Nothobranchius furzeri: one gene and its partner. The protein of the gene in region 2 purifies or fractionates together with the protein of the main gene of each other region. This does not show direct contact. Links are inferred from orthologs where the notes say so. Each region holds a gene or a part of one and is shown on either strand. Other genes may lie near its edges.

Region 1 (3,652 bases), on a different chromosome or scaffold from region 2:
CAGAAATGTAGCTAGCTTTGTCACTAGGCGTTAGGAACAGCGACAAAGTGGCACTGCCTCTCTCTCTGCTGCTAAAGCTACGGATAGCAAATGCTACGGGTTATGCCTGAGCGTGAACGTGCATGAAGCAGCCTGCTCGACCCGAGCATCTCTCTTTTTCTGTGATTTTACAGAAAAACAGGCAATCACAGTAAAAATGCCAGGGCTCATTCTACAGGACCAGGCATTGCAGGAGAATGTATGAAGAAGAAATGTATTATTTCTGTACATGTTTTGGCTGTCACACTTCCATAATGTCCCTTTAAAGACCCACTTTTATGATGTGGCTTTTAGACAGTGACTCGTTTTAGTGTTTTATTGTGTTAATGTTTTAATGTGATCTTAGTATTCCTCATGTTTTATCTGCTTTTGATCGGTATTTTTATCTTCTGCTTTAGTTGCTTGGGTTGGTTGTGTTTTGGTTTAACCTGTGCAGCACCGTGAGCAGCTCCCACACTGCGTTTTAAACGTGCTATATAAATAAACTATGGTATGGTATGGTATGGTTCATATGTATATTTATTTTATTATGCGAGAAGTGAGACATCTTCACAAAGAGAAAAAAATAAAACACAACTCCATAGAGTTGGAGTGTTTTCGAGCCGGTCCCTGTAAAACCGAGTCCGCTGCAGCAGCAAGAACCTGAACCACGTCGAGGGTGTTTGTAGTGACAGCATGCCAAGTCCATCTGTGCCTGCGCCTGAAAATGTGTGAACCGCTATCTGTTTATTCTGGTGATATGTGTGTGTTTTTCTTGTCATAAGTGAGTTAGTGTAATTGTGTGAGTAATTGCAGGCGCTGGTGTATACGAGGACTGATTAGAGGGGAAAGTCCTCTCCCTGGCTCGGAACAGGGTTTCAAACAAAGACATGCGTACATGGCGTGAGCGATCTTGTTTTTCTCCGTGTTTATCTTTGCTTGCAATTAGAATATCCCTGGCAGTGTTTCCACTGATCCCAGTCCAAGTTTCTGCCACACACAGACTCTGACTCAGAGGTGTCAGCCCGGGCGGCTGCAGGTGTGTGTGCAGAAAGATGTCGTGTGTCACCGAGTCTGTTTTTATGTTCTCTCTTTTGTTTATTTTTAAATCTCCCCTTTCTTTTCCTCTTCCTCTCTTTGCAGATTGTGCACCGCTGCAGCAGACAGAAAACTACGCCTGCTGACTTCTGATCTTCAGGAGCGGCACGAAGTCAAGGTAGCGCAACATCTGGAGCACATTGGCCAGAAACTTCGCTTGTCATTAGGAGTCTCCACGATCAAGTCTAGCAGGAAACAGATCTGCAGACTTAGCAAAGCAACATTTGCAGAAAACATTTATCTACCAATTTAATGGAATTTTTTTTCCCTTACCTGTAGTTTTCTCATGTTTGTTGCCTAGGCGATGGAGGGCCACACCAGCTACATTAACCATTTGGTGTTTGAGCCCACAGAAGGGAAACAAATCGCTTCCGTCAGTGATGATCACACTTGCAGGTCCAAACTATTTTATTTCTCTTTGTGTGTGTGTGTGTGTGCGTGTGTGTGTTCGTGTTCATTCCCAGCTTCTAATTTTCAGTCCTGTTTTTGGTTAATGGTGCAGAAAGACCTGACTGCGTTTCCACCGTGAAACTTGACGCTAAGCACAACACGGTCCAGTGTGACCGTGCATAAGCACAGAGCTGCTTTGTAGCTTCCTCTTGCTAATTGGTTAAATATGGAAATCCAATTAGCTGCAGTGAGATTTTTTTTCCCCCCTCTTAACAAGGATTCCTAAATTTTCCTTTTCAATTAAGGCTGGAAAAGGTGAAACATGGCGTCACCAGTGAGGGTCAGTGCTGGTTTTAGCTGCTCATTAGTGCTTATTTATTCATATTTGCTGTTTCTTTGAACTAGTGGTGTCAAGTCCGGCTCCTTGTTAGGTGTTGCTCTTCCCAGACGTTAGATCCAAGTCAAGTCAACTTTATTGATAAAGCACTTTACAACAGCATAAAAACTGACCAAAGTACTTAACAAGCCAAAAAGAACAGAAGTTCCCTAAAAACTCTAAAAATAAGATAAAAAGTTCATCACAAAGTAAAAACATGATAAAAACAAACATATCAAACTGACATAAAAGCTACTAAAATCAGATGCATTCTCAAACTGAATTAAAAGCAACTGAGAACAGATGAGTCTTTAAAAGTGATTTAAAACCCGACAGTGACGAAACCATCCTAATCTGAATTGGGGGTGCATTCCACAACCTTGGAGCTCCATCACCCCTGAGCTTGCTCTTTGTTCTCGGCACCTCCAGGAAAAACTGGTCGGCTGACCTCAGTGACCGAGACGGGGAGTGAGTAACTAAAACTTCACACAGATACTGCGGAGCAAGGCCTTGTACAGCTTTAAAAGCCAATAAAAGAACCTTGTACTGGACCCTAAAATCCACAGGCAGCCAGTGCAGCGAAGCTAAAATTGGGGTATAGTGCTCCCTCTTTCTCGAGCCCGTCAATAGGCGTGCTGCTGCATTTTGCACCATTTGAAGACGGGAGAGGTGAGACTGAGGAAGACCAAGGTACAGTGCATTGATGTAATGAACGCGTGAATCACCGTCTCAGAGTCATGACTTGAGAGCAGACGCTTAACCTTGGCGATCCTCCTTAACTGATAAAAACCGTCTGATTTGCTTTTCCAGAAGCAGATCACTGTCAAGCTGGACTCCCAGACTGGTTTCAAAAATAGGCTAGCGGACCAAGGTCAGCAGAACATGGCCCACTGGACACACTAGGACTAAAAAGCATGACCTCAGTCTTGTCATTATTAAAATGTAAAAAATTTGCAGACATCCAGGTTTTAACCTCATCGAGGCAGTTTAGAAGAGGATCTAAAGAATTGGGTAGGCCACGTTAAACGGGAATATAAACCTGGGTGTCGTCTGCATATAGATGAAAAGAACATCCATGTTTCGTAAAAATCGAACCCAGAATCCAGTGGTTGGATGATCTCCTTAGCATGACCTCTGGCTCTGCAGAAGCAAAGAAGAGAAGTACTGAAGTGGTTTGAACCCTTTAGTTCAAAATGCTTCAACATTTCTAACTTGGTGCACATCTTTCCTGTTTTGAGTATTTTGCATCCTTTAGAAATGCTTGTCAGCACGTGTCTGTAGGAATTATAATATTTAAATATTCACTCTGGCATCTGATTAAAAACGAGTAATCCTGCCTTACTTGTCAGGATATATACGCACAGTTAGCTGATGATGAGGTTTATGGTCACAATAAACACGAGCAGAGCCAGAAAAATGCAAACGCAAGCATCTTGGTTGCATTTTTGTTGTGGAAATTCCACATTTATCTGTAAAATACTAATAATCTGTTATGATGAAACATTTAGACGGACACGAGGATCGGTCCACGTCTGTGATCACGCCGTATAAACGTCCTCCGCTCCCAGCTCCCGAACCCCCTCCCGCCCCTCTGCCGACTGTCCAGAGAAAACAGGAGCCCGCTCCATCTGCTGAAAGGTTTAAATTCTGTCATGCTGAGAAAATACGGGACGAGGTAGGAAGACGGGCGGAACGAGGGATGGATCAGGTTAACAGGAGAGTCAGCCCACACAAACGGAGCCTTGATCTGAGAGGAGGGAGGGTTATGTC
Region 2 (3,652 bases):
CTGGTTCCAATCGATGCTCCATACTCAACCCTAGGGTTGTCACAGTGTGAAAATGTAACCCCACCCACGGTTATTGTGACCAAAATTACCACGGTTTTCGGTTTTATCGCGGTATTTTTTTTAAACGTGCTACATTTTCACACAATTAAATAAACCCTGTATGTCAGGAAATATTGTCCTCAGTTTGTGTCTAAATTTTGCCTAAAATGTGTTATTTTGTAATGATGTTGTTTATTTGTTTACATTTTTCCCCTTTAGTCTTTAAAATACCAATATTTGCCCATAACTTCTTATTTTATGTCTGTTTGATGTCATAATTTAAAAATATTAGATCAGATGATACTCAGTACTCAAGTAGCCTTGTAATCAGATACTTTTTTACCCTTACTTGAGTAATAAACCCTATATCAGGAGAATATTGTCCTCGGTTTGTGTCCTTCCAGTGAGCTTTGCAGATGTGGGAAAATGTCATCAGGCAGTAATCATTGTTAAATTCATAATTATTCTCGGAGAGAGACCAACTCTTATCTGCCCCTGGGAGCCCCGTAATGCATAGATAGCGTCATTTCAACATGGCGGTGTCCGCGACACGGTTTATATGCAGGTAGCGGCGCTGCGGCTGCTTTATATAGCGACTCGTTGCATTCTCCCTCAACCCAAATCCTCGGATCACGCATTTTAGCTAAAGCGCTAACGTTAGCTTGCCTTGCGTTGACTGTAGAGTTGTGGGTGATGGTCACGCAGATGTGTCATGAGATTTGAAGCGTTGCTGCCTTTCACAGACACTTTTTCTGCTCGTGCTGCAAACAGGATAGCCGTCTTCTATCAGCTGTCCCTCGGCATTCTTCAGATATCCAAAAGATGCCCGTACTTCCCACTTTGTCTTCTTTGAGGGATAATAAATGTCCTGAGCGCTGCCGTCTCCTCCTTTGACCATTATTTCAGCTTTAGCTTCAAGAAAGTTTTGGTTGTAAACAACAAAGTGCACATGTGCCGCCGGCAACTTCAGCCGATGATACGGTGGCTGGTAAGGGTCACCGCGCCTACACCGCAGCCACGGTAATCCCACCGAGATAATATATGTTTTTTAAAAAAACAAGACGGTTATTATTATTGTCAACTTTTTTTTTTTACCGGGGTTTACCGCTACACAGGTTACCGTGACAACCCTACTCACGTGGGTCACTCCGCTTACCGAGCCAATCTCAGCTGGGGTCTGATTTATCTGTGCACATTTTTCATTTCTTCTCCAGAAAGTGCCGGCTTCCCCCTCACGTCCCTCATCATCCTCCACCAACTGGAAGACAAGATGAAGGCTCACTGTTGCTTCATGGACTTTCTGCTGCAGGTGAAAATGGCCGACCTGGATGTCTGTGTGAATAAGGATCATAATAATAATACATTTTATTTCAAGCGCCTTTCAAAGCTCTCAAGGTCACTGTACAGGACAAAATATAACAAGCAAGCAATACAAACAACAAGAAATAAATGCTAAAAGTAATTCCCAAAGGTAGAGTCGGAGCAGTGCGATGGATAATAGACTAAAAAGAGTAGATGGATGGAGGACAGTTACAGTCAGTTAGCCAGGCGGAACATGTGAGTTTTGAGTTGAGACTTGAAGGTTGAGAAGGAGTTTATGTTGCGGAGGTCGGGCGGTAGAGCATTCCAGAGTTTTGGAGCCGAGCAACTGAAAGCTCTGGCTCCATAGTACTAAGTCGAGTGCGAGGAACAGACAGGGAAGGTGAAGATGATGATCGGAGAGAGCAAGTGGGAGTGACAATGTGGAGGAGATTAGAAAGATATGGGGGAGCGAGATTATGGATGGCTTTAAAGGCATGAAGAAGTATCTTGTAGTCAATTCTGTATTTGACAGGGAGCCAGTGAAGTTGCTGCAGGACAGGGTGATGTGATCAAAAGTGGAGGTCTTGGTGATTATCCGGGCAGCTGAATTTTGGACTAACTGTAGCTTGTTGAGTTATAGGCATACAGGCAGGTTGCACCCATGTTGCAGAGGATGCAGCAGATCTTTATGTCCCACTGTTGGATGACTCCTAATGTTTCATGTAGGGTGGTTCCCATATTTTTGCCCTGACCTTCAGCAGTGCGTTCAAATAAGAAAATAAAGGGCAGCAAATCCGAGTGGTCCTTACATTTATCTATTATTGTTTCTGTATTTCTTTCTTTCTGTTTTCATGTCATTTCCTTCGTTTCTCTGCCTAAAAGCATCCCTCCTTTAGGAAGTGCGTTGATAAGAAACGTGTAAGTACTACAAAGGTATTTAAAAGTAGCCTCGTTGCTCAGATTTCTAGTTGGTTACTTCATCGGTATGCAGCTGAACGCAGGGAGACCGCGAACCCCGACATCTGCGACCACACACAGTCATCCAGCTATCTAGGCTGGGACCTTTTGATGTTGGGAGACCATTTGTCAGTGCTAGCGTGGGCTGGCTCCGTGTTTGTGTCCGAGTTGCCGCGGTGACCTGAGCAGGGAGTTGTTTTACGGCATCGCACTAGTCTGGAACTAAACTGACGCAGATATTTAGATGAGGCGAAACCTGAACGTCTGAAGAGACGGGCGTTTGTTTTTAGGGCGACGCGTCAGATTCACGTTGATTGCAGCTTTATTTTTTCCACCACGGTAAATACGCAGCATGCACCCATTTCAGGTCTCTGCTGGGTGGTTTAAGGTGTGTCCGAGCTGCAGAGATGACCTCTGACCTTAGGCGAAACGTTAGCTCTGCATTAGCCTGCTAGCTAACAGCTACAGGTTAAAATTAGACTAAATCATTCTTACATTTGAACATCTCCACCTTAGGAACAATGTAGAAGGTCATGATTGTTGCTTTATGAGGTCATCAAAACTTTATGCATTTGTTTTTTATTTTTACCGCGGCGTGCTCCCATGTGAAGATGTCATCCCGTCAGGCTACGAGCCCGTGTCCTTCACACCGACCCCTTTCTCCACCCCTGCCTGTCAAAGGTCAACATTTCTTCACAGATCAGTAAAAGATGTGTCTGACCCAACCTTCCTTCCTCAGGTGGGTCTGTTGGACCAGCTCAGCCAGGTGACGGTGCACTCGTCTCCCATGGCAACTCGTCTGCTGCTGTGCGAACACGCTGAGAAGCTGCAGGCAGCCATGGTGCTGAAGAACCACCACACCAAACACGCTGAGCTGGTGAATGGAGCCATCAGCATGGCTCTGCAGAGGAGGAACGTGGCGGTGCCGCCCAGCCTCACGGTGGCTGATGTCTTCTTCAGAGAGGTCCGTGTGTGAAGCCTTTGTGAAGGAGTGGCGTGGTGGCTAGATGACGTTTTGCCGCCTCTCTTGTAGGTGTCTCAGATCTCCTCCGTGTTTGAGTGTCTGCTGGAGGAGGAGGAGCGGAGTCTGAAGGTCAACCCTGTGGATTCTGTGCAGTGGGCCGAGGTGGTTCTTACCATCAACAGCATCATCAAGGTAACCACTGTTCTCTGTGAGGCGTGTGACCAGAGGGGATCCCAAATATCAGTAAAGGTGTGTGTGTGTGTGTGTAGGACATGCTTCAGGCCGCAGGTCAGTACAGGGAGACAAAAGCCTCCATGTACAGAGCTTCTGAAAATGCAGCTGCAGAGCCTGAATACATCCCCTGGACAGGTAACGTTCACCTGACTAGCT

Evidence for each region.
Region 1: the proteins of nup133 (region 2) and nup37 purify together in Homo sapiens (affinity purification with mass spectrometry; 4 studies listed by BioGRID and IntAct, with this or other methods). This does not show direct contact. The link is inferred for Nothobranchius furzeri from reciprocal best matches to the Homo sapiens genes NUP133 and NUP37.

What each region holds. Positions count from the first base shown.
Region 1 is NC_091741.1:39,616,460-39,620,111, reverse strand, and holds part of nup37 (nucleoporin Nup37), read left to right. Parts: intron 1-1,161; coding exon 1,162-1,234; intron 1,235-1,417; coding exon 1,418-1,512; intron 1,513-3,652. UniProt on the Homo sapiens protein: Component of the Nup107-160 subcomplex of the nuclear pore complex (NPC). The Nup107-160 subcomplex is required for the assembly of a functional NPC.
Region 2 is NC_091747.1:67,780,600-67,784,251, reverse strand, and holds part of nup133 (nuclear pore complex protein Nup133), read left to right. Parts: intron 1-1,253; coding exon 1,254-1,348; intron 1,349-3,037; coding exon 3,038-3,262; intron 3,263-3,331; coding exon 3,332-3,454; intron 3,455-3,531; coding exon 3,532-3,631; intron 3,632-3,652. UniProt on the Homo sapiens protein: Involved in poly(A)+ RNA transport. Involved in nephrogenesis.